4 linked regions of the Drosophila melanogaster genome follow. The protein of the gene in region 1 interacts with the protein of each later gene in a pairwise test. Each region holds a gene or a part of one and is shown in the gene's direction. Other genes may lie near its edges.

Region 1 (9,280 bases):
CTCTGAAGCGAGCCGGTCACCTTGCTGTTGTCCTGGCTGGCGAAGCCGGTGGTGAAGAACTCAATCCCCGAATTGGTCAGGGTCTTGCAGTCGATCTGCCAGATGCCCGGATGGTAGCCGCGCTTGAAGAGATCGCGGGCCAGCTTGCCCAGATCTGGGTATGTCGGTGTTTTGGCGGCCATTACGGGCTGTATGAATAGGTGGTATGGTATATATGGCCCGACTAATTTCGAAATTTTTTGTCTACTTTTCAACAGCCTCGATTAGCCGAAAATTTATGTCTAACGCTGCCTGATCAGTATCGAGTTTTATACACGCTGGAGACCTGTGAACTAAAACGCACGGAGTCCTGTGCCCAACCGAAAAAGTTAAGTTTTTCAAGCACAAAGAACTTGGGATCAGTATAAGGTACTTATCTTATTATACAGTTTTTTCTTTCAAGCTTAAATCCTTAAATTAAGCTAACCATTCCCAAGCCTTCCACCACCAACGCTGCAATCAAGATAATTTATTTCTTCTCGATTTATTTCTCAGGTAAATGCACAACGAAAAGGTAAAGATTGTTATTAAGGATGTGATTTTGGTGTTATGTGTGTCCTAGTTTCGCCGCAGGATTTTGCAGGCAATCCGTAAAGCCTTGAGAACTGAAAAAAATGCAATGCCTTTTGAGCCATAATATTCCGTCTTTTCCATTTTGTTTTTTTTTTTCGTTTAATAGGTAAATGTATTTTTACTGCACTTTTGTCAACAACAATTTCGCTAATATTCAATGCACTAATCAAAGCTACATCCAACGACGACGGACTGACCTGACCGACCCATCGATTGCACCACCCATCCATCCCCCTGCATCGTTTGTTTGGCAGTGTCTCTCCTGCAGATTCGCGTGGCTGGGGCAGGGAATGGGCGGATGTGGTGATGGCCGGCTGACAACTAATCCAATCCAATCGAATCGCTAAGATGTGCAGATTCTCTTTATATTTGACTGTGTGTTGTTTGTTTTTAAAGAATATCGTATCTTTTATTTTGTTTGATCTTGTTGTTGTTTCTGCACTTGTCTGGCTGCTGTTATTGTTGTTGTTGTTGTTGTTGGGCGTGTGGGGATGTTAGACAACGTTCAAGGATTTCACGACTAGCGGAAAACCACGGACTTAGGCCTCCAGCTCCAGACCCACACCGATCTTGTGGCCGCCGGCATTGAAGTTCTTGCCATCGACCAGCGTGGACAGGGTCAGGGTGACTCCGTCGCGCAACTTCTGCTGGTAGCCCAGACCCACCTGGCTGGCGTTGTTCACCTTAGCGCGCACGCTGGCATCATCATCCAGCTGATACTTGGCGCCGATGGCGAACTTGGTGTTGCTGGTGCCGCTGGCCCACGACAGCTGTACACCCACATCCAGCTTGTCCGAAGTGCGTTGGAAGATCGAGCCGCTGAACTCCTGGCCATCGTTGCTAAACACCGGACAAGGCAATCATTAGTTTGCATTGATTTCATTTGCCATGCGTGGCAATTGCAATACTTACACAGCTGTGTGCAGAACAAAGTCCTTGGTGGTGTAGCCAAGGGCAAAGTTGTTGGTGGTCAGCTTGGACTGTTGTGTGTCAAATGCGGTCTGGTAGCCGGCCAACCATCCCTGGTAGCCAAGCACGGCAGAGGCATTGATCAAGGGGCCCTTCAGATCAATGTTCACATCCGAATCGGCCTTGACGTTCTCATGGCCGTAGGCAACCTTGAACTTGCCGTTCTTGTTTCTGACGATTTTTAATTAAATATGCAATATTAATTATTCTGCAGTGAACATATATGTAATAACATGTGATCCTTACCCAGACTGAGGAGCAAAGTTGCCCTCCAGGGACAGCTTCAGACCCTCGAGGAGCTGATCCTGGACAGCAACCTCGGTGAACAGCGTGTTGTCTGTGTTCCACTTCTCGGTGAGGGTCAGGCCGTAGTCCTTGACCTTGTACTTGGTCTCCAGGGAGCCGAAGACCTTTCCAGACTCCTGGTTGGAGTGTCCGGCTGTGTTGAACTCAATGCCCGACGAGGTCTTAGTCTTCAGATCGAGCTTCCACAGGCCAAAGTTGTAGCCTTTGCTGAAGATGTCGCGAGCCTGTTTGCCCAAATCGCTGTATGATGGAGGAGCCATCTGGAATGGATTGAAATGGAATGCATTAAATCGCACCTTCAATTAGTTGGTGAATAATCGATAATCATGACGATGATACTTATTGCGAAATCATTTCACTCGCCAGGTCATTAATTGCGTTTAGCGAACGATAAGTTTAATCTTATCAGCAACATAATGATTATTACTTTTTGCTCGACTTGATTTCAAAATGTTCTATCGGCCGCAAATGAAAAGTGAAAACTAAAAGACGCCAAAAAACAGCATCAACATGTCCCAAGAATTTCGAGGGCTTTTTCCCCATTTTCACTTTGGCTAAATGTCAATTTTGTGCGGCGAAAATAAAGAAATCAATTTAGATTAGTGTTCAAGGCGGCCACATGCAAAGAATCACCAACTGAAGCAGCGAAAATTCTGAGTGACTGAGGAGGGGGTCAATGCACGTCTGGGCAAAATAAAGTGGCGCAAAAAATAGAAGCGAAGATAGAAAACAAATAGTGACTAAGTCTATTTTACTCCAAGAAATTAAGGGTTTTCTATACCAATGCAAAACCATTTAAATCAAAATTTATTTTTCAAATATTTTTATAGGTTTTTTAAACTAAAATTTTAATAAAAATACTGAGATTTTCCCTATTTATCTGGCCACAGGTTTGCCTCTCTCTATGTTTACGTTCCGTTCTTGCTGGCATTAATTGCTGGTCAGTTCAGTCCCGTTAGGCTAGCGATCATTGACTCAGAAGCTAACTGCACATTTGCAACGTCTGCTGTGGTCACTGCTTCGCTGTTTCTATTTGCGTGACGTCAGGAATGCGACTCACAGTCGCGGTAGGAATATTAGTCGCGGATAAATAAATTTCTATCCGATATTGAGCATAAAAAAAATCAAACAAAAATAACCCAAAACATCTAATTGAAATTATTATATAGATATAACAATATAAATATTTCATGTTGTGTTCGGGGGGATTGGTGGGGGGAAACTCAAGGCAATCAAGGCAGAAAATTATGAAAAGCAGCGGCCAGCAGACAAAAATCTTTATGGCCGGCAGCCAAACGTTAAATGGGATGGGCTCTTATTGTTCCGGAAGTCAGGTGATATAACCTGGTCACTAGATGCTGAAAATAATACTATCAGGTGGATGTCCCGGTGAAAATGAATCAGCATCTCGTTGACGATGACCTTGACAAGCAGATTATAAAGGGGGTGGTTGGGTGGATGTGCAGCTCATTTTTTCGACAGTTGCATAACAGCAGGGAAATCGATGAGGGAAAGTGGAAAGCTAAGTGAATAGCTGCCCGAAAAGGTGGTCTATTGATTTTCCAGGTGACGTCACTGCGAAAATACCACCCACAATCGCGAAGTGCACCCACCTCCTCACATGACCACAAACAAACAAAACGACGATAAAGAACGGTAAAGAGTGAAATCGAAAATGTTTATTGAGCGAGCTGCACGCTGGTGGATGGCAACATGACGATAACGAACGGAATTGATGCGACATGCGTTACGTAACGGAAATTCGCCAGGCACTTTTCCATCGATCTCTCTGCTTCTTTGCCCCCTTTTTTCGCCGGCAGCTGCTGCCAATGAACTGCGAAGGCATTGGTGTGCGTGGACTGTTCATGTGTGGATGTGTGTGTGACAGCTAACCGGCTTAATATCCCCTTTAAATTTCGGATTTATCAATTAATTATTGCGTGATTTGGTGATAAGAAGCTCGCCCATCGTCATCCAACAAAAAAGTGCTCAGCCCTTTTGCTTTTCGTTCATGCGCGTGTCTACTTGCAATTTTTTCATTTCGAGGTTATGAAATCACTGGCACCGAAAATCCTGATTTTCCTTCTACCCATAGGGGTATCCATCACATTTCACTGAATTTTGAGGGGGTTTACTCCTGAGCTACTTACTTTTGATGAGTTTTAGTTTGGTTAGAGTGTAATGCGAAACGCAGAGGAACAGAGACACCACGACAAACGTACACCAAAAAATTTTGTAATTCTGTGCCTTAGTGTTACCAACCCTAAAAATTCGTCCAATAATTATTCCCTAAAACAAGCCGCAGATATACTATCTGGTAACGCTGCGTCACTCTTAATGGCAATGGTCACACTTTTTGTAACGGAAATTTGAAAACTAACGGTTACTTAAAATAATTATTGAAATTAGAATTCAATCATTCTATTAAGAAATTCGTTATCTTAAGAACAATTAACTTACATCAAAGTGTTTTTTTTTTACATAAAAGGGTTTCCTGCAAACGAAAACTTTAAAGTTGTGGACAAGTAAATGGGCTTTAAAAAAGTTATAATCCAAAGCAATCAAAATGCAATAAATATATTACAACTTTATTGATTGACACCAATGAAGTGTGTGCGATGCTCTTTTTATTTTTAGACGAATCTGCGTGCAGGGCCGCCAATCGACCGCATAATCCCATTCGGATGGGCCAAAAGCGAGACCAGTGCATTTGCCGTGCGGCGACAGAATGTTGAAGGCCCGTCTGCAGGAGGACGCCGTGCTGGGACGCTGCTTGGCCACCTCTAGCTCCGTGGAGCGGGGCGAGCTGGTGCTGGAGGAGCTGCCCTTCGCACGCGGACCGAAGCGCGACAGCGGAATCGTGTGCCTGGGCTGCTACCAGTTCCTGCAGTTCGGAGAGGACGGCGATTCGCTGGACCGCTGCGAACTCTGCGATTGGCCGCTGTGCGGATCGTGCGCCGACGACGAAGACGTCACGGAGCACCGCGGAGAGTGCCAGGTCTTCTCCGCCGCACGTGTCACTTTCGCCGGGAATGTGAGCGATGATGGCGTCTGCCCGCAGTTGGATTGCATAACCATATTGAGGTTAGTTCGCGGGCGCTCCAGCGGGGCGGGGGTGATGGTGCTGGGTACATCCGTACAGCAGGGGCTACTGGGTGCTACTAGGGGAACCTGGGCGGTCTGTCCGAATATTAGTTTTGGCAGCAGCGGCCCATTTCTCGCAGTTCGCAGGCTAGCCGGCATATACAGATTCTCATGGCGACTCTACGTCAAAGAAGGCGGACGGATGGATTAACAAGTCTGTGAAAGGGACAGTGGAGCAAATCGCACAGAAAATAAAAAATAAATAGCTAAATTTAAAGTGCATGAAAGTAAGGAGAAAATTATGGCATGAAACAAGCCATATTTGTACATATTATTATGACAGAATAATTGGTATATGATAGTTGCGGCGCGTTATGATCAATGTACCATCATGTTTTTATATATTTCGTAGCAAAACTGAACTGTAAGCACTGTGAATTATTATTTAAATAATGTTAAGCACATGTTTAAATAGATCGGTGCTTAGTACTTAGAAATAGAACTAACAAAGCCAAGCAACTTAAAAGTTACAAGCAACTTAAAAGTTACAAGCAACTTAAAAGTTACAACCAGTAAATTATTTAATTTATGAAAATGTAAGGTATTTTAGTTATTATAGAAATTGAACAATGTTTTCTCAAGACAATTTGTTCAAAACTAAAATTTCTCACCTAGGACCTCGCATGCCCACTGTGCCCAGCAATTTTGATGCTTTATGTCGGAGCAGGCAGAAATGTAGTCATGTAGTGGGGAGGAGGCATCATCTGTGGGGTGTGCCCATGACATGAGATCTGAGATCTGAGTGCGGCCAGCCGGCATCAGTCAGCGAAATGACATCGCCGCCAACGCTGTCGGTGAATAGGACAGCGGTTCAGTGGAGTCCGGTCTGCGGACGCTATCTGGTGGCCAAGGGAGCGATCCGTGGCCACGGTCTGCTGATCGAGGAGCTGCCCTTTGCCGTCGGGCCCAAGTGCAATGGACCGGTGGTGTGCCTGGGTTGCTACGAACCCAACCCAGATCCGGAGGAGGAGCTGTGTAGCGAATGTGGCTGGCCGCTGTGCGTGGAGTGCGCCCAACAAGCGGATAACGCCCATTTCCGCCTGGAGTGCAGCCAGCTGAAGGATGCTCGGGCACGATTCTTCCGCCTGCCCAGCGGCAGCAGGCACTGTCCGCAATTGGACTGTATTATGCCGCTCAGGTGAAGCCCAGCGGGTGGAACAAAAATAGACCACCAGGCACCAGGCAAACTGATAGCGTCACTATTTTATCCGCTCAAGATGAAAGTTATATACAAAAGGATTCATTAACAATTAAAAAAGAGAAAGATTTTTAATTTAATGTAGCTAATTATAATCAATAGGTTACTTGTTGTGCTTCATATGATTGTCATTTGGAATACCCTTTTAAACTTTCTACTTTCAGAGTTCTGTTGGCCAAGGAGGCGAATCCGGAGCGATGGGACAACGAGGTGGCACCCATGGAGCACCACAAGGAGGAGCGCCAAAGGGACGCGGATGTCTGGCATGCGGATCGCGTTAATATCGCTCAGTATTTGCGCGGTCCCTGCCAACTGGCCAACCGATTCAGCGAGGAGCTGATCATGCAGGTGGTGGGTGTGCTGGAGGTGAACGCCTTCGAGGCGCGCAGCCCGAAGGGCTATCCACTGAGGTGCCTCTTTCCCTATACCGGCATTCTGGCCCACAACTGCGTGCCCAACACATCCAGGAGCATCTATCCCAGCGAGGGATACAAGTGAGTTGTAAATAGATTTGTAAATTCAGTTCTCTAGTTCAAGATGTCTAGAATTACATTTCCGCTGTTGCACATCTAAAATAAGTCCTCCTATATTTGTTTCTCTTCCAAAGAATCCGACTGCGCGCCATGGTGGACTTGGAGGAGGGTCAGCCCCTGCACCACAGCTACACCTACACATTGGATGGCACTGCCCAGAGACAGAAGCACCTGAAGCAGGGCAAGTTCTTCACCTGCCAATGCGAACGCTGTCTGGATCCCACCGAATTGGGAACGCACTTCTCCAGCCTGAAGTGTGGTCAGTGCGCCGAGGGATTCCAAGTGCCCAGGCAGCCAACAGGTGAGCGAAAAAGATCCTCTAGAAAGTGATAAGCTGACCTTATCCACTACGCAGAACCGGACACTAGTTGGAACTGCGCGAACTGTGGCTCCGACACCAGCAATGCGGATGCACTGGCGATGCTCCAATCCCTGCAATCCGAGGTGAATGCCGTGCAAGCGCTGCCCATGGCAGCCAAGCGGCTGGAGGAGATCGAACGACTGTTGCGCAAGTACAAATCACTGCTGCATCCGCTGCACTTTATAGCCACCGGGCTGAGGCAGTTGCTCATCGAGATGTACGGGCGAGTACAGGGCTACGAGATGGTGCAACTGCCGGACCACCAATTGGAGCGCAAGGCGGAGCTATGCCGCCAAGTGCTGAGAGTGCTGAACACCTTCGAACCGGGTCTGAGTCGAACACGCGCCATGAATCTTTACGAGCTGCACGTGCCACTGGTGCTGCTGGCCAAAAGTGGCTTCATAGCCGGCAAGCTGAAGGGCGGCGAGCTGCGTGCCCGCCTCGTCGACGCCATAGATCTGCTGAAGGAGTGTGTGGAGATCCTGGAGTTCGAGGACAAGAGCTCCCAGGAGGGAGTGCTGTGCGTTGTGGCCAAACAGGCGCTGAAACAGCTCACACTGAGCGTCGAGGGACTGGGAAGCGAACTCGATTGATTGACTTATGCATATCGGTTAGCTTTATTGGGAACAGTTCTGGGTTTCTAGGGACACAAACTGCTGATGTTGGTGTTACATTTAAAATCTTATTGGTGCGCTGGTCGATGGTCGTAAATGTCAAAAGAACAATAAACTACAAAACTAAACAGTGATTACAATTATTACAAACTAATGATGCACAGTATTTTCTATTTGAGTGTTTAATCTCCGTTTTATTTCCTTTTTGGTATATGCGTCATTCTTCGGGTATATCGTAAATGCTTTTGATAAGGACTTAGTTTCTAGCTCGGTACATATTGCTATGTAGTATTGTATACAGTTGAGATTTTTCTACGTCTCAAACTAGAAGGTGCTGCTTACTTGGATACTGGTAAAAAATACACCGGGTGGCCAAAGAATGCATCGGTGTACAAATAATCAACGCAACATTCGCTGGCATTCTAAAGCAAGCAGCTGCAAAAAGTTACTTACAAAATAGCCGTGTTCATTTTGAGTATGCTCCTGTTGGCCGCCACGCTGCTGCTTTCTATGTATTTATAATTTTAAAACATTATAAACTAAAGCATAAATTAAGTTGGAATCTGCATATAATACACAAAACGAAATACGATTCAATTTGACTGGCTGCGGGCAGGGGGATAGGTCGTTTAAAAATAATCACACACACATTGATTAAAAACTAAAAACACTCGGGGGCTCTTTTAGCCGCACAGCAAACGCAAGGACAAAATATAAAGAATATTTCCTGACCCTAGACCTCGTGGCTCAGTAGAGGCGTATCATGGTAGCGGGAGGCATGATTGAGACTGGTGCAGGGCAGCAGCCACAGCGCCGGATGTCCGCGTCCGAACACATCCGCCAGCAGCTGGTACTTGCGCCGATTTGGACGATAGGTGCCCTTCTGCTGTATCGCCTCCACGGCCGTCTCGTCGTACAGAATCGCATGCAGCTGGTCCACCATGATGGCCGTAACGAACAGGCCGAACAGCGCCGACACCAGCATAAGGATAACCGAGTGAATCCTGCAACGGAGGGATATAAGTTATATATGACTCATAATACACTTTAAAATTGCGTGGCCAAGTAACGCATTCATTGTTTAAGAACTAACAAAGCACTACTTTTCCATCTTGCATTGCATTCCGCTTAGCATTCGATTAAGGCAAACCCAAATAAGGCTCTAGCTTCTGCTATTGTTGCTGTGGCATACGAAACTTACATTCGCAACTGGGTTTCGATCACGTTCTGGCTGCACTCCTCGCAGGGCCACACCCAGGAACCGACGATAAGGGCAATGGAGTAGAGCGACAGCAGCGCCACGTAGATGAGGAACTGCAGGAAGTACTTCTGATTGCGCTCGCCCACACAGTTGTTGATCCAGGGGCAGTGGTGATCCATGCGCCGGATGCACCGCTTGCAGATGCGACAATGATGGGCGCGTGGCGGCCTATACGTTTCGCAGCGGGTGCACACGGTCCATTCGCTGCTGTGTCCATTACCGGGCGGAGGATTGTTTTTGTTGGTCGTGTGCAGGTCGGAGAAGTCCAGACGATTGGCGGGC
Region 2 (7,358 bases), on another chromosome or scaffold:
ACCTCGGCTTTGCGTTTGGTGCCGATCAGCGGCTGATCCTCGGAGCTGGAGGAGTTGCTGTCCGGCTCGGGGACAAATGAGTTGTGCGTGAAGCTGCTGTTCGAGGAGGAGCTGTGATCAATGCGCTGACGCTTGGACTCGTGGTGGTGGTGATGATGATGGTGGGTCAGCGGAGATTCCGAGCGCCGTCCACTGTTGCGTTCGGACTTGATGTGGTGATGATGGTGGTGGTGGTGATGGTGCTTCTTCTCCTTCTTCGACTCCTTATCGTGGGTAGCCGATGAGGTGGTGGCTTGATGCGTGTCCACATCGTTTTCGGTGAAGGTGTACTCATCCTCCTCGGATTCCGGCTCCGGATCGGGTTCTTTCTCCTTCTTCTTAATGCCTCGCTTGGAGGGAGTTCCGGAGGATTTGTTCGTTTGTTCGTAGATGTCGATGAGGCGGCGATCCAGGATGTTTACCTCCGGTTCCCAGGTGTTGTAGCGCTGGTTCCAGCCCTTCCACTTGACACGGTACTCCACGACGCCCTGGAAAATCGAGTAAGTGAAGGAGTGGGGGTGGATTGCATTTTCTTAGACAACTAATTGATTTTCCATTCAGCGAAACAAAAACACGCCTCACATACACACACACACACATACGAACGCACTACGCACACACACATGCATCGTGCAAATGGTGGTTGCAGCAGCAGATGTCCTCTGGCCAAAAAATGTCGAAGGACATGTGACCTTGTGGACTATACATATATCCTGCGTGTGCTGCGCATATTGCATTTGCCATTTTTAGCGGAGCATCCCGTTTTGGTCGCCTTTTTCGAATTTGTTTACGCTCATCTCACCTTCTTAACGCGCTTTTGGATGATTTTCTCAGCCGCGTACACTAGATCGACTGGATCGTCGGTCGCATTGTCGCGCCCCAACTTCCCCTTACTCCCCTTGCCTCGACCAGTCATTTTTAATTAATAATCTTCTCGGAACGTTTTATTATTCGTTTTATTTGCAATTAACTTCTGGTTTACAATTCTGCGTACGTCGATAGTCGTCCGACTCGATTATTTTCATGTAAACAATCGATAGTGCTGCGAGGTGCAGAGTTACCGTGCTACAAAGAACTGGGATCATATCTTAGCAAGTAGCCGTGTCGCACACCCTTTCCTGGCAAAATTAGCAAAGACTCAAAACTTTGATGACTAGACACACCTAATTGTGCGTTTTTAAAATGTAAATGTTTTGTTAAAATATTTTCAGAATTTCTTGACATTTTTCTATTATTTATAAATGGGGTATATAAATGTTTTAGAAAACATTTTTTTGGCGCTGTTGCCTTATACACTATTTTCTTTTATCGTTTCTACAAATTACTAAACCGGCGAGAAGTTAAACCAATTAGCTTAAATATAAAATAGCTTTTAATCAAATTTTAATAAGCGCATTTTTAATGAATCCTTTGTACAGTATTCTTTTTAAACTGCATGTTGAATTGAATTCCAGGTAACGAAATATTATACTTTCGTTAACGTTTATCGTTGTGTTGCTTTCATCCCATATTGAGTTTTGATTTTCCTTTGTCCTGCTTCACTTATTGTATCACAAATTGCCACATATACTTCGCCCCATATTCCTATTCAATTAAGTTTGATAATTAACTTGATTACAACTGAACTAGTTACCCTCTTCGAACTCTTCAAATGCCACATCCTCAAGAGGGAGAGAAAGTGCGGGAGAGAGTGTGAGAAAGCACAAGAGCGCCGAAAGCTCAGGATGGATGTGAAAGGAAGTGGCCGACTGCAGATATTTTATGCCAGTTGTATGTTGGCCGAGGGTTCGCGTGGCGGGGGCGGCAACGACGATGACATTATTTTATTTATGCTGTGATAGTGAAATAACAACAACACCAAGACCAACAACTGAAATAACACCCATTCCCTTGAAATCAATCGCAATATTTTCGACGAGGGACGCGAAACGCATGGAGAATCTTCACACTTAACGACGAAAACGAGAAATTAACCAAAAGCTTTAACCAAAACATAAAGAAAAACACCAAGCAAATTGTTGCGAACCCTATAAATAGATTAATGTTTAATTCATAGTGAAAACAGCACCAATTAGCGCATAACCTATAAAATATTAGTCAATATGTTTAGCTAGTTACAATTTACATAGATGATATTTAATTAGTGGCTTCAAACAAAACACCAAGCAACCAAACAACCGAACAAAAAAGGGGAAAAACCAATACCTAGTTCAATTGTACGGAGCGAAAAACTAACGAATAGCGATTAGGAAAACTGGCCAACTGATAAGGCTGGCGAAAATATTAAGCTTATAGCATATAGGAAATAATAATAGCAACGGCAAACCACCCCATCTCCAGGCGAAAGCCCCGAATAGCGGATTCATTCAGAAAAACGTGCCACACAACCGGACGGGAGCGACGGACAACGGTAAATGTCAAAGTCATAAAGAGAAAACTCGGAAATGCCGATGAGAGAAAGCTCAGAGAAAACGTCAAAACTATGAGAGGCGATAAAAGCTAGCCAGTTACAGTTATATTGGGAGAAGCAATGCCAAGTGTCAAAATCGCAAAGAGAAAGTAACAAAAGAGAGACACAGCTTAACGAAAACTTCCGGTTATTTTTTAACCAGTAGATTGAGCATTACGGCCATATATTAACGCAAACAGGACAATGGAATAGCTTGTATTTATCAGTCGTTTTGCCTAAAAAAAGAGTTTATAAAAAGAAAAGAGAAAGGAACGCCGCAATAGGAGGTCATACAAATCCTCAGAAGAGGGGTCGATGATAATGTGACACAATTCTATTCAATATGCGCAAATAAAAGAGACAGTTTCGGAGTTAATTAGGGGAAAGCCTAGATAAAGCTCAGAGCAAATCCCGAATCTAAACCAATGAGAAAGTGAAAGCTCAGGATAAAAGCGTCAGCACAACTTTTGGCCAAGACACAATCCAATAAAATCGAAACCAATGGCCAGCACAGCGGTGGGACTGGGAGGCGGCGAAGGTGACCCCGGGGCGGGAGGACCGCCAGCGGGATCAGCGCATCCCGACGACGCCAGCAGCATGAGCGACGACGTCTTCGAGGATGCGGAGACCACCCAGGCCAGGATCGAGGAGCTGCGTCGCCGGCCCTTTGGCGATGGCTCCTACAATCCCCCCGCAGCGCCCGCCTCAGTTTCCGCCTCGATAACGACGACAACGACACAGCAGCAGCAACAACATCACAATCCTTCGCATCACCACCAATCCTCGCACCACCAACCATCCCACCACCATCACCACCACCACCACAGCCAGCTGAGTTTGACGGGCAGCCATCACTACCACGACGATGCTATCATGGCGCCCGTTCAGCGCTCGGCCACCGGATATCCTGGCTATCGTCCCTCCCGCGAGGCAATGCAGATGTATGCGTACGGAACGGATGACTACGACGATGACTATAACGATGGTTGGCGATCGTATCGCTACGATGAAGTGGACATGCACCCAGCCCCGTCCAACGCCCATCAGCAGCCCTTCGATGATACGGTTAACCACAAGACGATCCTGCTGGGGGATTCGGGCGTGGGAAAGACCTCCTTCCTGGTCAAATACAATACGGGCGAGTTCCGACTGGGTTCCTTTTCCGCCACAGTGGGCATTGCGCTTACGGTGAGTTTTGAATACTGCAGTACCACAGTTTGTAAGTAGAAACTACTCTAGCTCCATATGCTGTAACTCGAACCAAAGGATTACCGTTTTATAAACTACTTTCTCGGTAAAAGCAACATCAAAGCAATGCAAAGTACTTGGTAGCCTAACCCGTGAATTTAATGATATGCCAACTTAAATACAGAATGGAACTCTCGCATGTTGACAGATGTTGGTTCGAGTTGCAGAAGTTCGAGCGTGGTGCCCAAGCTGTGGAACTCACTTGGCCTTAAACTTGCGATTGTGGGCGAATCCGTAGCGCTGCCTGCTGCATGAAACCCGCACAGTAGCCTGACCCCGCCTACTTAACCAGCCGCCCCTTTCCCCGCCCATGTATTGACGCACATTCGAATGGGCTCGCTTATGTAGTAAGAGTACGTCTGTGTGCATTGGCCTGCTGTGTGTACCTAATTGGGGAGCAGTTCCTGCTTTTGGTAATATAAGTCTCCGCCTTCGGGGCACTGGGGAGTAAATAACTAATCCAAATCTCATAACAGACTGTCGTTTTTTCAAAATTTTCTCTATGGCTGTTACGCCTAAATTCGTTTAAATATTATTATTTGTAGTAGTGCCATTTACATACATATATTTCTAGTTTTCGGTACAGAGACATGTTATTACTATTCCGCAGTAAATAATAAAACTCTTTTCGCCTCCTAAACGTATTAAAAATGACAAGACCAATTGGAATCCTTTCTCGCAGTGCACCTTTTTACTCCGCTAAATAGGCAACATATTGTTCGGGTAATCGCCGGAGATTTTCTATTTTTGGCGGGCATGCTGAAATCCCCCAAATTGATTTTTTCCCGCACGGTAAATATAAATCTCTGCGTTCGACCTTTTCCACGTTGTTGTGTTGTGCTGACATTGATGGCTGTCTGTGTGTGACTGTATGTGCAGCGCGCACTCACACACTCGCGCGACCTGTTGCTGTTGCCTTTCACTTTCACTCACCGCAATCCGCACCACACACAGATACGAACTCTCCCACGCTCACCCTCACGCCCGCACACAGGCGCAATCAGAGACACAGACACAGACAGACAGCCACCGCAATGGCCGCCAGTGAAGTTCAAGTGCAACGGTTTTCAGTTGCCTCGGATGTTGCTGCTGCTGATTTTCCCCCTGCTAGCCCGCTTTTCCCCATTGCAACACTAAGCGCGTGCTCAACTTCGGGGCACAAACATTTCTCCATCAGGGTGGGACACTGGTTCAGAAAACTACTTAAAACTATTAAACTTCGGAGCATTATATACATAAGATCCATATGATTATATAGCGGTAGCATTTGTATGTTTCAGGAATTTTCATATTTCTAACTAAAAATCTTAATCATATTTATTTTCACAAAGTATCTGAAATTTTGAAATTCTCGCCCTGATATGGAATTTCGCAGTATGGTATGGAATTGGAAGTAAGAAGAATATTCTGGCAAGAATCGGAGCACCCTATTGAACAGACACCTGAGTCCTGAAACCTACCAAATCCCCTTCCCGTTCCCCGCCACCTTTAACGTTTCTAGGCCAGGGTTGCTGCTGCTGCTCCTGATTCCAAGCCAAAGCCGAAATAGCCGAAGCCACACGAACTACAACTCAAACTGAAATCGGACTGAAAGCGAAGCCGAAGGACTCGGCTGCTGCGAAGGATTGCGAGGAATTGAGACTGATGCGACGATGGTTTTCTCCTGGGCCCGCCAGTCAGTCTAGCTGTGTGTTCCGATAAGCATCGGTCGCGCATCCTTCGCATCCCTCGCAGCTTTTCCGTATTTCCCAGCCAGGTGGAAGGCTGAACCAGCTGCTCCAGCCGAAAAAACACTCGGTCGCGAGTTTCCGAGCCAAGTAGAGTGAAGTGCTGGTTTGTGTCTGACTTTCTGAGGCGCGCTCATTAAAGACTTACTACATTTTGTAAACATTTAGTAAGCACTTGCATTTAAGCAGCAGTTCTTATTTACTTTATTACTTCCTAATTTTTATCCTTTTACCATCCTGCGCGCGTGTGTGTGCAAATGGCTTGTGTGTTGTGATGTCTGGATGATTTGACAAGGTCCTGCGCGTGTTAAAAATAAATAAAAACAATTATGGTAGACTGGCTTTTGCTCGGTACTCAATAATTGAAGGGCAGCGGAAAATGGTTGTAACCAACATTCTTTTGGCTTTGGTTGCGTTGAGCGGATTTGGGAATTTCGGTTTCCTTCTAATTGATTAATCTGTTTGAAACATTCTGAAGTATAAGTTATGCCTATATATGATACTATCTTGGTTTGTTAGGCATAACAAGGAACTAGACATATAATAGATATTTGTCAATACTAACATGTTAAATATTTTCAAGGTTTGGAACTGGAAATTACTTATTAACGGTTTTGAAGCTTAAAGGGACAAACACTAATTAATTCATTACCTTACTTATGATTATTAAGATGCTAGAATGGAAATATGTATACTTTTTTAAAGACTTAACACATTGCCGCCAAACCAACATATTTTCGCAGAAAACCTTTGGTTTAAGTAAATCATTGTTGTCATTTTCGGCGAATTCTGATAATTCGGTTAATTGGAAAATTCAATTGTTTTGCAGAGTTCTCGACTCATTTGCCACTAGCTTATTGTCTAAATTAAATTGGAATTTGATAAATGCAATTAAATGTAAGCCAATTTATACCCGAACCTTATGTCTCTCACATCTTAACCAGATTCCATTGTTGTTTACTCGGACTCGGGTTTCATTCAAATGCGCATTAATTATGTGGGAGTCAATAACTGCTGATGAACACAAAAGTGCCGAGGGCCACGGTGATGATTTTCCATTGATATCAGCTTTTTTAACAACGAACTTATATTAGTGTCTAACAAGCTAGAAGCTGAGGTACATTCCTTAAGTGGCTTTTCGCTTTAAACGTTATTCATAGAGATAAATGAGCCATCGATTTTCGAAATTAAAATTAGTTTTGCCTATCTGCGACGATTTGAAAAATTTCAAAAGCGGTTGGTTGAGGAGAATAGGTCTATAAAGCCCCCAAAACTTTTCTTTCACTGCCACAGGTGTCCTCTTTCTTGTCGTTTCGAAATTTCCTGGGCCGTCCCCTTGGGGTGAAAGTCACTTGAACCGTCGTTTAAGCCGATTAGTAGCACAAATCTCCTGGGTGGTGAGTGCCCCTCCTTCAGAGGAGCCCTTTCCTTTGTCCCTCCGCTCGGAATGACCACTAATATGCACTGGAACTAAATTGTTGTGTGGCTGGCCTGGCAGTTTTATGAAACCTTCGCGCAAGCACTTCGCCTTTTGTCCTGCGAATTGGCTCACTCGCCAGTTTGAAGTTTTACTAAAAAAAAAAAGAATGCCGGGTGAGTATTCTACGGAAGTTAGCAGAATAATAGAGCTTTTTGAAAAGTCTCGATCCTATTAGCTAAACTAAACTATGAATTAACTAAATTAACTAAATGTTAATTGCAGAAACTTCATCATAAAAACCCCTTTTTAAAAGTGAGTCAGGGTTACCTAAAACGAAAACCCTTAATGAAAAGGTAAAGCCTACCATATGAAGTATATATTTTCTTGAACAGTATCAACATCCGAGTTTAAATAGTTAGGTCCATCGAACTTGTTTACTGGCTTTAAAGATATCTGCATTACATTTTTTCAAAAG
Region 3 (5,823 bases), about 10 Mb from region 1:
GAGTTGATTAAAAGTACACCAAACAATTGGAAGCAATTAAAAAGTTAATTTATCTGAATTCTAATAAATACAATTTTAGACTTACAAAATAATGAATTAGAACATTAGAAGCCAATAAAAGCAAATTCAGTACGTATAAAATAAAACCTTATTGAAGCCTTGTTCCTAAATGAGTATGTGTATAAATAATGCACTACATAATGATGGAACTCGGTTCGAATTTAACTAGATCCTTTAGGTGTAAAATCGTGTTAGAGCCTAAAGCTAAAAGCGTGTGTATGCATCAGATCCTGTCATACTGAATCGTCTCCTCTCGGAATCCCTCGTAAGCAATTTCCTTTTGGTAAAATTAAGTAAACATTGAGCTTAAGCTAATACCGCGTATGTACACAATACTCGAGGACGACTGGCTGGCTGAAATGGCGGCGCAGGCTGGGTTTGATCTAGTTCATTGGTCTACGATTGTGATAGGTAGAGACCGTGCTTGGCATCACACACCACATTCAGGGCGTAGAAGTCCCAGTAGGAGGTCATGTGGAACCCCATGTTGGTCAGCACCACGATGTACTCGAACAACGCGAAGAAAGTATAGACTGTGGATAGAAAAGATTCATTATAAGACAATAGTGGACTCACAACCGATTCCCACTCACCTCCCGCCTCGCAATGCGAGTTGTGCCTCACGAAGCAGTATCCTGCCAAGCCAAAGGCGATCACATTCACCAAGAACAGATTTCTCTTGTACCTCAGCGACTTCTCCTCGTGCGGCAAGAGCACGGTCTTCTGTATATTCCTGTTCAGCAGGTAGGAAACCAGCATATAGCACTCGGAACACGCAATGAACACCACAAATGCGTTTCTGTGGGTCTCGTAATGATCCGCAGAGGTCCAAAACGACAAGCAGAAGAGGGCCAGATCCTCCACGACGTTCAAGAAGCAGGCCAGGATGCCCAGCAATCTTCTGCTCCGGCGGATGTGTTCCCGATAGTGCTCCAAGTAGATTTTGGCAACTGCCAAACGGAGTGGTAAATGCAGAAATATGGCCAGTCTCCAGACGGTTTTTTGGGGCTCATAGTTCCCAATGGCCGCCGAGACGGAGGGCAGATAGTTGGTCACATCGCAGTGGGTGTAGGTGCTCCTAACGAAGTCAAAGGTCAGAGACCAAATCACGCAGAAGAAGAAGCCTCCCAGGGGCAAACTAAGAGCCACCAGTGCCAGTCGCGCAAAGGGAAGCCGGAAGAGGACGCTTTTGGGATCACTGAAGCGCTCGTAAGTAGGCAGCATTTGACCTTTGGAGTGGGTGGACTACGTGGGGTGTTGGTCGGGTTGGGTTCTTCAGCGGCGCTCGCTCCTCATTTTTCAGTTCCTCGCTCCCAAATTAACTAATGGCTTTTCACGCAGATTGCTTACGTTATAAACATTGCGAAAAGTTGTAAACAAGTGATCGATACCAGCTGACTATCGGCCTCTGGCGGCGGGGGTGGTTCATTATCGAATTTACTCAGTGTTTAATGTTTAAATTTCGAAGCAATTCAAGTGTTGCTCTTGTGTAAGTGAAATTTTTGAAACTGGCTCGTTCATTGTAGATAAGCCCTTTTATCAGCAACACTAACGGGGCGGATACTTAATTTCTATGTAATACTTTAGTCGCCAACAGTGCTGACCAATATCAACTTACTTTTGTAGCTAAATAGCTAAAATGTTATTAATGGCGGTTTAGTTAAATAAGGTCATAAAAACAAGTATTTTCTTACTATGACTAATCTTATAAATTAAAAACATTTGGAGACTAAAAATATTTATATACAAATATCTATTCCCTGAAGTGGACAGATTTGGCTAATAAACAGCTAGACGGCCATGACTGTCTTGCCTTGCGAACTATCGATATCGATAACGCCGGTTGCGTGTCAGCACTATTCGCACTGAAACAACAAACACGCGCAAAAAAAGAAGAAGGAAACTGCATTGTTTACCAGATTTCGGAGTTTTTCCTCATCTATCCGAGCATCCGCGAATCCGTCAGAGATGGACATCCTTTTGGCCAACGTAAGTGGGCTGCAGTTCAAGGCGGAGCGGGACCTCATCGAGCAGGTGGGTGCCATCCCGCTGCCGTTCTACGGCATGGACAAGTCCATTGCGGCGGTCTGCAACTTCATCACCAGGAACGGACAGGAGTGCGACAAAGGGAGCGCCTGTCCCTTCCGACACATTCGCGGGGACCGGACGATCGTGTGCAAGCACTGGCTGAGAGGACTGTGCAAGAAGGGCGACCAGTGCGAGTTCCTGCACGAGTACGACATGACCAAGATGCCCGAGTGCTACTTCTACTCGAGGTTCAACGCCTGCCACAACAAAGAGTGTCCCTTTTTGCACATCGACCCGCAGAGCAAGGTGAAGGATTGTCCGTGGTACAAGAGAGGCTTCTGCCGCCACGGTCCCCACTGCCGGCACCAGCATCTGCGCCGTGTCCTGTGCATGGACTACCTAGCCGGCTTCTGCCCCGAGGGCCCGTCCTGCAAGCACATGCATCCGCACTTCGAGCTGCCCCCGCTGGCGGAACTGGGTAAGGATCAGCTGCACAAGAAACTGCCCACGTGCCACTATTGCGGCGAGCTGGGCCACAAGGCCAACTCGTGCAAGCAGTATGTGGGCAGCCTGGAGCATCGCAACAATATCAACGCAATGGATCACTCCGGCGGACACTCGGGCGGCTACTCTGGACACTCCGGCCACATCGAGGGTGCCGATGACATGCAATCCAATCACCACAGTCAGCCGCATGGTCCCGGCTTCGTCAAGGTGCCCACGCCCCTGGAGGAGATCACCTGCTACAAGTGCGGGAACAAGGGCCACTACGCGAACAAGTGTCCCAAGGGTCACCTCGCCTTCCTCTCTAACCAACATAGTCATAAGTAGGACGCTCTGCTCTGTATGATTAGACTGTAAGAGTGCAGAAATAAAGGTCGAAAGCGGTCTGCATAGTCCGCTGTGTAGTCCAGAGGTCGTAGGTTCCCAACTTCCGCAGGCGAACGTTTCAATCATTCTGTGTTTAAAGTGTATGTTAAGAAACTCATTTGCATTTTTGAAAAAAGTCCCTAGAACTGCCAGTAGAACGTATTGTGTTATCAGCGAAATAAACTTCCATAAGATACAAGTAAGCAATTCGTTTTGGAAGGGAGTTTAGTTGTATGTTTTGGGTTTTCTCCAAAAATATAAATGTATCATGTTTTTTCGTTTGTAAGATAACAATTTGTGCCTCACAATTTTTTTTCGGATTCAAGTTTCGAATTTTTGGGCGGCGAATCGTCTTTTCCAAGTTTGCAACCACTCTAGAGTTGCCTCACTTTTGTCCACATCTTTTGAAAGGCGAATTAGAACTGGTCACACTGGCTTGTCTGGATCGAGATTTCAGCTCGTCAACAATTGCGCACTAAATTTTCAGTAAAAACAAACAAGTTGGTCGTGCGGAGGCATCAAGAACACAGCATACGAGCAGCCATGACAATTCTGGGAAAACTGCGGGGACAGCCCACGGACCAGGAGAAGGTGCCCCTGCCCATGAACCTCAACGACGAGGCGCTCATGCACCATGGCTCCCTAATCGCAGTGAGTTTTGCTTGGCATCGCATCTGCGGGATGTGTCCTTATTTTTGCGCAATCGTGCTATGTCCTTGTCCATCCCTCGCGCCCTGCCCGCCACCGTGTCCTTCGTCCTGCGGCCCGAGAGCCACAAGTCTCGTGATGGGTGGGTGGTTGGTGCTGATTCCGATTCGGAATCCATTCCGAATTACAGCCTCAGCAGCAGCAGCTCGCCATCGATTTTTCCCCGACCAAGCTCCGCACTCCTTGGTGTCCTTGTGGCCCGTGCTTCCCCTTACCCCCCTGCCCGCATGCAACCCCTGCTCCACTCCAAGTGACGTGTGCCCATTCACTTTCCTGGGCTTTCCGCGCCAAGGACTCGCTCGCTCGCTCCCCGAGGTCAGCGCGAAGGGTTTTCCTGTTGCTGGTGGAGATTGGCCCTGACGGCTGGGGAAAGCCACTTACGGTGCCAGTTGCAGCCCTTTGTGAGCTGCTGACACTGTGCACTTTGACCTCGATTCGTGTGCACGGGTATCCAGAGAAAGTCGTGTCTTATCAGCTTGCTGGTCATAAGCACAATCATTCCCAGCTGCCAGCTCCCATCTCCCATCTCCCAGCATATTTGCCCATCTGCAGTTTATTTATTTAGTGTAGATATCACTAATTTTCCAGAGATTTATATACAATCATACATTTACATATGAGTTATGCACTACATAGTCGAATAAGGTCCACTCTAGTGCATGCAAATGCCTTCAATTGATTAATTTTTTGCAAGGGGATCTCTTCTGACCCCTCCTTAGACTAATCTCTCGCTAACGACGTATCTTTCGAAACAATTTTGACTTAGCAATGCAATTGCATTGTTTATAGAACAAGAGAAGGCATTGCAGTGAAAAATTATCTTGCTGAGCTGGCGGAAAATATAAATGTGTGATTAATATTCAGCAAGCTCAAACCTTTCGACTTGTGGAACTTCCACTATCAACATTACAGTCAACTGCCTTCTATTTGTATTTTTCTACGACTTATCGTCGTTTTTATGACTTTCCACTGGAACAATGGGTGATAAGGAAACAGATATAACAAGTCGGTCATTTTAGATAACTTTAGATTGTATATAAAACTGCTACTTTTCCATTGCAATTTGTTGTTCCTACAAAATTGCAAGTGACACTTAGAGGAGTATCCCATATTTTTAAAACCCCCCATTTTCCACACACAGCCCAAGGTTGCTTACAGCGATAATGAAGCCGACGCGGAATCCATGGTCTTCAACCGGCCGCAGCACCATTGCATCAAATCCTTTCTGCTGTTCCTGATCGCCGTAGTCGTGATGCTCCTGGGTGTCCTGGGCGGATGGACCCTGTACCGAGTGTACGCTCCGTCGCATAGCAGCATGCGCTACCACGCCCTGTGCGAGATCCCCTATCCGGAGGACTCGATGGAGATGGCGCGGGTATATCCGCGCACCGTGGAACCGTTCGCCCTGAACTGGCGCTCCTTGCTACCCGAGCTCGCGCAACCGATGCCCAACAGTGGATCGCTGGACGAGAGCCACTTCCGCGAGGACATCGAACTGGACGGTGACAGCGATGACGAGGGCTACGCACGCGTGGACGTGCCCGACTTCAAGGATGGACGTCGTGGTCGCTTCATGCACGACTTCAAGGAGAACCAGTCGGCCATTATCGACACTACCACCGGACGGTGCTTCATCATGCCCTTGGATCGGGACACGACCCTGCCCCCGACCAGCTTTGTGGATCTCATAAAGAAGATGAGCACTGGCTACTACAACATAGATACGGAGCGCGTGCGGCGCCAGATGCGTGTGGTCATGCCCCGCATCACCGATGTCTCGCTCATCTCGGAGCGGATTGCCAACGAGTGCTTCGATATGAAGGTCTACATGATGGAGAAGTTCGTCTCAGGCGGTGAGTAGCAATGTCTTACAGGTGCCAGCAACTTACTGATCCATTCCCATTCCTCGACCCATTACAGTCTCGAAGAGATCGGCTGATCCGCTGCCGGAGTCAGCCAAGTACGCCGAGTTCATGGGCAAGGGCGTCATCGAGTACGACCTGGCCAACATCGCCGAGGTGGAGGCCTACGAGGCCAACGAGGCTAGGCAACAGGCCTGAGCTTTGGAGGAGGAGGAGGATCTTTTAAGCTACAACACCCATATGATAACACAACCTAAACAAATTATTACTTAGAATCGATTTATACATACACAGA
Region 4 (7,399 bases), on another chromosome or scaffold:
CATTCTTAATTCTTTTGGGACTGTGCTAACCATCCAAATTAGCAAACTAATATGATGTTCCAAATATATGAGATAATTTTATTTTACACATTTATTTCGATGAAGTATTTTTATCCATTCTGAGCATCGACACCCACGGTTGCTGCCCAGGGTCTGGCAGCTGCCTAGATGCGGATGCTCGGGGCATCTCCTCCTGCTGCCTGCCACCGATCCCGATTCCGATCCCGCTCCTGCCGCTCGTTTGGGCTACCACTTTGCGTCTGGAAACGCTGCCGCGGATTCCGATTCCGATTCCGCTGCTCTTGCTGGCGCGGCATTATTAATGATAAATGTGGCTTGCACTCATGATAAATACAGAGAATCGTTGAAAGGTATAAATCAATAATAGAGAAGTTTGTTTGCAGTTAGGCAGGCGCAGGATGGAGCCGTGATTTTCAGCCAGCAGACAATGAGTTTGTCCGGGCATAATTCACCCGGGAGCAAAAGGTCTTCGTGTGGAAGCTGGCCAAGGGATCTGATTAGCGGATCGGCCCAGGAGGAGACCGCAACTGCAATTGGATGTGGCTTTCGATGCGGCTGTCCCTCGAGTTGGATGCTCCACAAAATCATGTTCATTAATTGACTAATTAATCGGCATCGGCTGTGAGGCAACAAAAACTAAGACATAACAGCCAATGCGATTATCAATAACAATTAGCCGACGCCTCTCCGCCGGTCTGTCAAATATAACGTGGCCCCTGTCTTGGCCCTCCTTTCAACTTGGCTAGTTGCATTTGAATGCACAAGTTACGCATCCATCAAATGTCAATTGTTTGTCTTGGCTTGGCGCTCCGTCTTCGGAGACGGAGAAACGGCGCATTTCTCATAAATCATTCGAAAGGCTCTCTGGCGGGCAATGTATCGCGGCATCGTCATCCCAGAATCGAATCCCTGACTCGTCGACGACGTCTTCTGCCTGTCAGAGGAGTCGTGGTCGATATGAAGAAGGAGCTGGGGGAGCAGGAGGAGGTGGGCCTGGCCCACTCGGATGCCCATCCAAGGCATCGAACTTGTCTAGCCCATCTGAGTGTCGGCCCTGTCCATCTTGAATTAGTTGAGCAGTCGCAAGACATTAGGTGGAGCGAATGGCTGAAGATGGCTAACTATATTAAGTTTGACTTTTAATGCATATTTTCTAAGCGTTTACTTCTCAAGGAATTGCTAAAGGCCTGATTGAATTTATTTATGATTTATTTTAAGAATTTCCAGCTGCTAGGCCACAGATGGAGATGAAAACGCTTTTTAAATTTAATGTTCAAGTTTTACCATCCTACTAAACATAAAGTTAAGATAAAAATGGTCATTTTAGATGTTATATTTGTTAGGTACTAGCGAATAGGTTTTAAATAGGGAACAGTTTCTACTTGTGTTTTCTTTGACATCATCTTCAGTTAAAATGAATGATATAATGTAAAAGAGAGAACAAAATTGCAGGCTGCATCATTCCCATTAAAATGTCCATTTGCAGTATTCACCCGCCATAATTTCTTTTGATAAAACACCTAATGATATAAAGTTTAATTACTGATAAAAGCAAGAACTAAGTGCTTTTTTCACCATTTATCTGCCATGATTTCACTGGCCTTTGGAGCACATTTTTTGTGCTGGTTAAGTTTTAAGTAGAGTCCAAACCTCGACCCGCCTGTAACTTTGACTGCACACGCATCGCCCCTCGCTGCTCGCCGCTTTCTCCACAGAATTTTCCACGGACACTCACCTGACGGAGCCGGCAAACTTTTGCATAATAAAGCAGGTGCTTTTCCTCCCCCAAAAGGGATCAGACCAGACCAGACCAGTCTGACCTCGCCACCTGAGTCACCATCACCATCGCCTTCGCCTTCGCCATCTGCACGAACTGTTAATGTGCTGGCGATTTTAGTTATGGCCAGTGGCCAACGCCAGTTGGGAGTTGGGACCTGACCAGCTGGGCAGAGTGTCCTTTGTCCCGTTGATAATTTAAAGCCAACGACCTGGACCTGGCCGGGATTAAACCAACTGAATGGCAACTGTTTTCTGCTCAAATCACAGAGAAAATAAATTGGGGATTTCGTACTTACAGAATGCAATTTCGAGCTTGCCAAGCTGGATTAGGTTACAAATTTCAAATGCAAGTTGTATGTAATTTGTTGATTTTACGGTTGTAACCTAACAAAAAACAGTGTGCAGAGACCAAGCAGCAACAAATAGGCACACCATTTTTTCCTCCGTGTAGGATGGCACACTCCTACCCACTTTTAACACTCACCAATCTCTTCCGATTCCGCTCTTTTGGCCATCTGAATATTCATTTCAATTGTGCGAACTGCATCGGCGGTGAAAGAAAAGCCTGCACCATTCCAGCGGCAACGGCTTATGGCACTTTCTTTGGGCCAAAAGAGTGGATTCGTTGATGCCCCGATGTTATGCTGCATATCGATGGTGCGGTGCTGGTGCTGGTGCTAGTGCTCCTAGCTGCTGGTGGTGCCGCCCGGTGGGGGACGACGACCCACATAAATCATTCACAATTAGATGCGGACGCAACTGCGGCAGCGGCTTAAACACCTGACCGACTTGCTCCCGAAAAGACTCCAAGCCGAGTGATTTTCCGCCCGAGTTCCACTCGAGTGGCCAGCTCAAGTGTTGAGTGAGTTTTCGGGGGCATTGAGTGTGCCGGTTCCATGGCGTTCCGCCCATGTTCCACGGACCTCGACGGACCTGTTCCCAGTGCGTGCCGTTCAGTTTGTACTTGAGACCGGTTCGAAACGTTGCCAGCCGAAAAGTCAGCGGGCCGCGGACGACGATATCCCCACAAAAAACCAAACCAGAACCAAAAACAGCTCGCAACATTGGCAACATAGCAACCCCCCATCAGCAACATTGGTTTTTTCGTCTTTTGAGTTTCAGTTCAGGGTACCACTATATGATTTGATATGATACATAAACCCCGATTGTTAAGTGATTTTGTGCGGTGATCAATGTGTGCGATCGGCAGTTTGGCAGAATCCCCAAGAATGCCGCGTTAATTGAGCTGTACGTACAGCTATAGTACAAATTTGCATAACCAGTGAGGAGGCATAAACAAATCTGGCCGCCGAGCGGAGGAGCGTCTTGGTTCACTGATTTAATGCCACAAACAGATTGCAGATTGTAGCCCGCAGCCGCGCCCCTGCAACTTGCAACTTCTTTGGCTGCAACTTGTGCAGCAGGCAGCAACCAGCTAGCAGCGACCACCTTCACCTCCACCTCGAACTCCTTGCTGCATCTTGGACTCGGTTTGGTCTTGGTCAACCTGCTTGCAAGCTTGTTTCTGCGGAAGAGCTGCCGCCGGAGCGCCAGACCCGGCAAAAAAAAAAACAAATACAAAAAAAAAACAAAACAAAAAAAAAACAAATCTAAAAAAAGTAAGGAAAAACACATACAGAACAACACGGCTGCCGTTGTCGTCGTCTTTGGAATTTTCTTTAAAAACAACGCGCTAAGATTTGCAACGCGGACCCAGGCAAAAAGTGTAAAAGGCAAGCAAATGCATCCGCGGAATAAAAAAATTAGCGCATAGTGAAGCGTGTCCCAGTGTGTGTGTGTGTGTCGTCCATTGTACATGAGTGTGTGTTCTAAACGCCGAGTGTGCGAATAAAAAAGCTGCCCAACTGAGAGAAAAAAAGTTTGAAAAGTGTCAAGCGAGCGGCTCGGTGGCGGCCAATAACCCAACGACTGGCATGCAATTGCAGCCAGGCGACCCCGACGGGTTAATTACCGTTATCCTTGCAACACAGCAACAACTAAAACAACAACGAGCCACACTAAACGGTGCTCAAGTTGTGGATTACGTCTCCGCCGCGTTGTCGCCGTGTGAAAAGGACAACAGGAACACAGCATCTGCAACATTGGCCATAAAAAGCGCATTGAGCACACGGCAAAGTCAAGTGAACATTCCAATTGGCAACGTAACGGGCTAATTGGCACACACAAACACATCGCTGCACATGAAAACGAGGTGAGTTTCAAGAATTCTGCATTTCCTTCATCCAATTGCCTGCTAAGCTTGTTTCGATTGCCTTCCATTCCTAGAATGATTTATGAAAGAATGTATTGGCAAGACAGGCAAGATACGGCTAAATACTTATGACAAACTAAATAGATCGGTTTTTACAGGGCTTTATTGTTATGAATCTTTTTTTCCCGTGAAATGCCAAATTAGTTGCTGCCTGAATAAACGCTATCGATTTCATACTCGAAATTACTATAATTTGTAACAAGTTATTAACTTTTAACTTTAGTTAGTAACTATTAACTTCAAAGTATTTAAAAGAATTTTATATTAGTCTGTGATATTTTAATATATTGAACGTATATTGATTAATTTTCAATTAACACCTTTAACTTTATTTCCTTCCCAATTACTTTTGAAGGATGTTTTAATCGTGATGATGGTCATGGAGATCGTTTTCAAACTGCTCATGAATAGGTCCTTGAAATAATTTTATACCATGAAATATATCTGCTTTTGACATTTTGGGCTTTCTTGTAACCGTTTGCACTTTGGAGTTAACAATGTTTTTTTCACCGGCCTTCAATTGCTTACTTTCGCTCATAACGACGATATTATTTCCTAGATCTGGCAATCGAGGAGATGAACCAATCGTTTTTTTGCCAAGGAAAGTCTCTTGAAAGAATCCAGGTCCTGGTACATACGTATTTCCCTCCGCTTCCGTAAGTCCCGATGTGGAGGTGTTTACCGTTATAGCTCCATCGTTAAGTATAATGCTATTGGCACTGTCATCTTTCTGATAAGCTAAAACGCTGGCGCAAAGGATAGACAATAGTCGCAGTATCCAAACCATAGTCCGTGGAGATTCGTTTAATATAAGCTGAGAAATCTGCCTTTATCATTACAAGTCGTTTGTGGCTAACAGAAATGTAAGGCTTTGACATTTAGCATGAAATCGGTTTGATTCACATTTCGCATTAATTTACATGGTTATACCATGTGTTAAATGGTTATATACTTGTTTCAAAACTCCAACAGAAGTTTGCATTAATCCCGAGCAAATTACTGGATATACTTATAGCTACTAGATCCTTTATATATATTGGTGTAATATTTCTTAAGCTTAAGCCCGGCTTCGTCTCGAGTAAGTCAACGAGTTTTCTTTTGATCTCTGGTTCGGTGCGACTTAAAAGCGGGCCAAGCTGTAGGCCAATTCCAGGGAAGTCCACTCCATCAGGCTGAAGCCCATCGAGTTTTCCATCGAGTTTTACTGCAGATACATTTGTGACGGGCCACTTGGAGCTGCTCGGCTTCGATTCTTGTATCTCTCAATTTCCATTAGACCCAGAGCGGGTTCTCGTTCTCTTGTGTTTCTACGCTTTTGGTTCTGAAGTGAATTTATGTCGAGCCGCTAAACAATTGATGCTGAAAAATGATGGCAATGACAAAGTGATTACGGCCAGCAGTGGAAAGCGACGCGAGATGCCAGCAATCGAAGTTCAAGTTGAAAAATAACATTTTCAATTTCCAATTGTGGGGTTCATAGTGAGCCAGAGCTGCCTCGGTGGAAAAGTGAAAATGAAATGCTTTGCTAGCAGACAAAAGCGGTTCATCATTAATCATTTAGTTTGTTGTTTTTACAGCGCAACCGAAAGTATACCTATTTATACGTACATAATCGGCACTTCTTCTTCGTTTGGGGCACGTTCTCGATTTGAATCTTTTCCTCCATACGCCGTCCCATTTTTTTCCTTTTTTCATCCCGTGTTTGTTTCGTCTCTGAGTATTTGGCTTTGGTAAATTGCTCATCGTCATGCTTTTATGATTTGGTATATTATTTTTGAGAATTTGATGCGCTCAACTTGATAAGCCCAAAGCGCCCAGTGCTGTTCTCCTGCGCCCCCTTTCCCAACCCCTCACCCACCTGCATTCCTGGCTTATTGTTGTGCCCCTCGGTGTATGTGTATATACTGGTGTATAGGTGTGTCTGTCCACATCACCCAGCCCAAAAGTTCAGAATTTTTTAACAGTATCCGGAGAACAGATTTTTTCGATCTCCCTCCAGAGAGTTGCAAAATGTTTAAAGTTTTAATAACAAGCGCGGAACGAAATTTGTTTAGGTGTGTCTTTGTTAAAATACTCTATATTTGATTTATACCAACATGGAAAATACACTACCAGCAATAATATTACAATTGAAATGGTACATAAACATATCAAGTACCTTCTTAAAGTGTACAAATATAAATATGATGCTGTACCCAAATTGCATAACAACAGATTTAATTAAAGTAAGCCCATGCTGAATGAAAACCTAAAGCAGAAACAACCCAACTCCATTTAGTGTATCTGCAAAGCCAACCTGCAAATAAACTTTGCAAACTTTACGAAATGCTTGCACATCAAACTTTTATTTACCAGCTTCGAGAGCAGTACAGCGAAGCCCCCCGATAACGACCCAGCTTGGCCCACCCTCGTTGCAATAATTTCATTTCGTTGTACAGTTTATTATATAATTTTTGTCCCTCTTTGACTTTTATCTTACGTTTATTATGCCCCATGGAATTTGCCGATTTCCAGACGCTGTCCAACAACCCGCTGGAGGTCAATGTCTCCGCCCAACCACCACCCACTCACAGAGAACTCGAAGACGAGGCAGCACATCCCTAGGATACATCCTGCCCCGGTGGCATCTTTAAGAGTTGTAATAACTTTGGCCCAACTTTGGATGGGGGTCTCTGGCGTTCAGATGGGACTCTGTCTGGGGGCAAAGTGCTAAAATGCCTTGACGCATTCTTTTGCACTTGTTCTTCATCTTGGGAAACAGGAGTAGAAGCTTTCTCGCCAACAGCTGGCCAAATGACAGGCTCACTCCCACTCTGGCAACACGAATCCTTGAATCCTTGGCAGAAAACGTCGACTTGTAATAATCATAATCGTAAATTTGCAAAAAGCTGGCCGGGCAGAGCCGAGTTGTGTGTCCTGGTGGCGTTGGTCCTTGGGGCCCGTTTAGCATTTTGCGCGGATCCTACGAGGCTCTTTCCAAAACGGGGCGTGTGCGTGGGCGTTGTGTTGTAGGCGTCATCATCATTATAATAGCCCTGTTTTATTTATTTTTTTCTTCTCCTCTCAGTGGGTGTGTGCCTTGTGCGTGGTTAAATTATTGGGGGAAAAATTTGAGCAAGAGGTGGAGTTGAAACGCCCCCATACTTCACCGCCTGTCCATCGTCTTGGCGAAAGGCATTTAAAAAGTTTTCTAAACTTCATTTTGAAGTTTTATTACCAGCGCAGAATAAAACGCCGCACAATTTCATCCTTCCCTGTGCATTCTATTGGCTCTTATTTTTCTAGCTTGTTGTTGAAATTTGCTCTATTAAAATTCCGGGGCGCAGT

Evidence for each region.
Region 2: the proteins of SmydA-3 (region 1) and Rab26 interact in a two-hybrid assay, tested with the Drosophila melanogaster proteins (one large-scale study listed by BioGRID).
Region 3: the proteins of SmydA-3 (region 1) and Clp interact in a two-hybrid assay, tested with the Drosophila melanogaster proteins (one large-scale study listed by BioGRID).
Region 4: the proteins of SmydA-3 (region 1) and CG13300 interact in a two-hybrid assay, tested with the Drosophila melanogaster proteins (one large-scale study listed by BioGRID).

The regions. Positions count from the first base shown.
Region 1 is NT_033779.5:10,846,717-10,855,996, forward strand, and holds SmydA-3 (SET and MYND domain containing, arthropod-specific, member 3), read left to right. Parts: upstream 1-3,424; 5' UTR 3,425-3,543; exon of another isoform or gene 3,544-4,132; intron 4,133-4,524; 5' UTR 4,525-4,615; coding exon of another isoform or gene 4,616-4,971; intron 4,972-5,646; 5' UTR 5,647-5,801; coding exon 5,802-6,169; intron 6,170-6,393; coding exon 6,394-6,723; intron 6,724-6,836; coding exon 6,837-7,063; intron 7,064-7,117; coding exon 7,118-7,716; 3' UTR 7,717-7,888; downstream 7,889-9,280. Other genes in the region: Porin2, read right to left, coding at 1-182; porin, read right to left, coding at 1,152-1,452, 1,525-1,752, 1,828-2,147; Dnz1 (DNZDHHC/NEW1 zinc finger protein 11), read right to left, coding at 8,471-8,741, 8,939-9,280.
Region 2 is NT_037436.4:21,316,956-21,324,313, forward strand, and holds the start of Rab26 (Rab26), read left to right. Parts: upstream 1-1,818; 5' UTR 1,819-2,989; coding exon of another isoform or gene 2,990-3,676; intron 3,677-5,425; exon of another isoform or gene 5,426-5,630; intron 5,631-7,358. Other genes in the region: Pc (polycomb), read right to left, coding at 1-527, 842-955. UniProt on the Drosophila melanogaster protein: Participates in exocrine secretion.
Region 3 is NT_033779.5:818,051-823,873, forward strand, and holds Clp (clipper), read left to right. Parts: upstream 1-1,913; 5' UTR 1,914-2,028; coding exon 2,029-2,919; 3' UTR 2,920-3,159; downstream 3,160-5,823. Other genes in the region: PGAP2 (Post-GPI attachment to proteins 2), read right to left, coding at 457-593, 654-1,284; CG3662 (uncharacterized protein), read left to right, coding at 3,502-3,609, 4,808-5,519, 5,587-5,726. UniProt on the Drosophila melanogaster protein: Component of the cleavage and polyadenylation specificity factor (CPSF) complex that plays a key role in pre-mRNA 3'-end formation, recognizing the AAUAAA signal sequence and interacting with poly(A) polymerase and other factors to bring about cleavage and poly(A) addition.
Region 4 is NT_037436.4:6,347,770-6,355,168, reverse strand, and holds the start of CG13300 (uncharacterized protein), read left to right. Parts: upstream 1-2,778; 5' UTR 2,779-4,012; intron 4,013-4,339; exon of another isoform or gene 4,340-4,433; coding exon of another isoform or gene 4,434-4,859; exon of another isoform or gene 4,860-4,893; intron 4,894-7,399. Other genes in the region: Sfp65A (seminal fluid protein 65A), read right to left, coding at 4,434-4,859.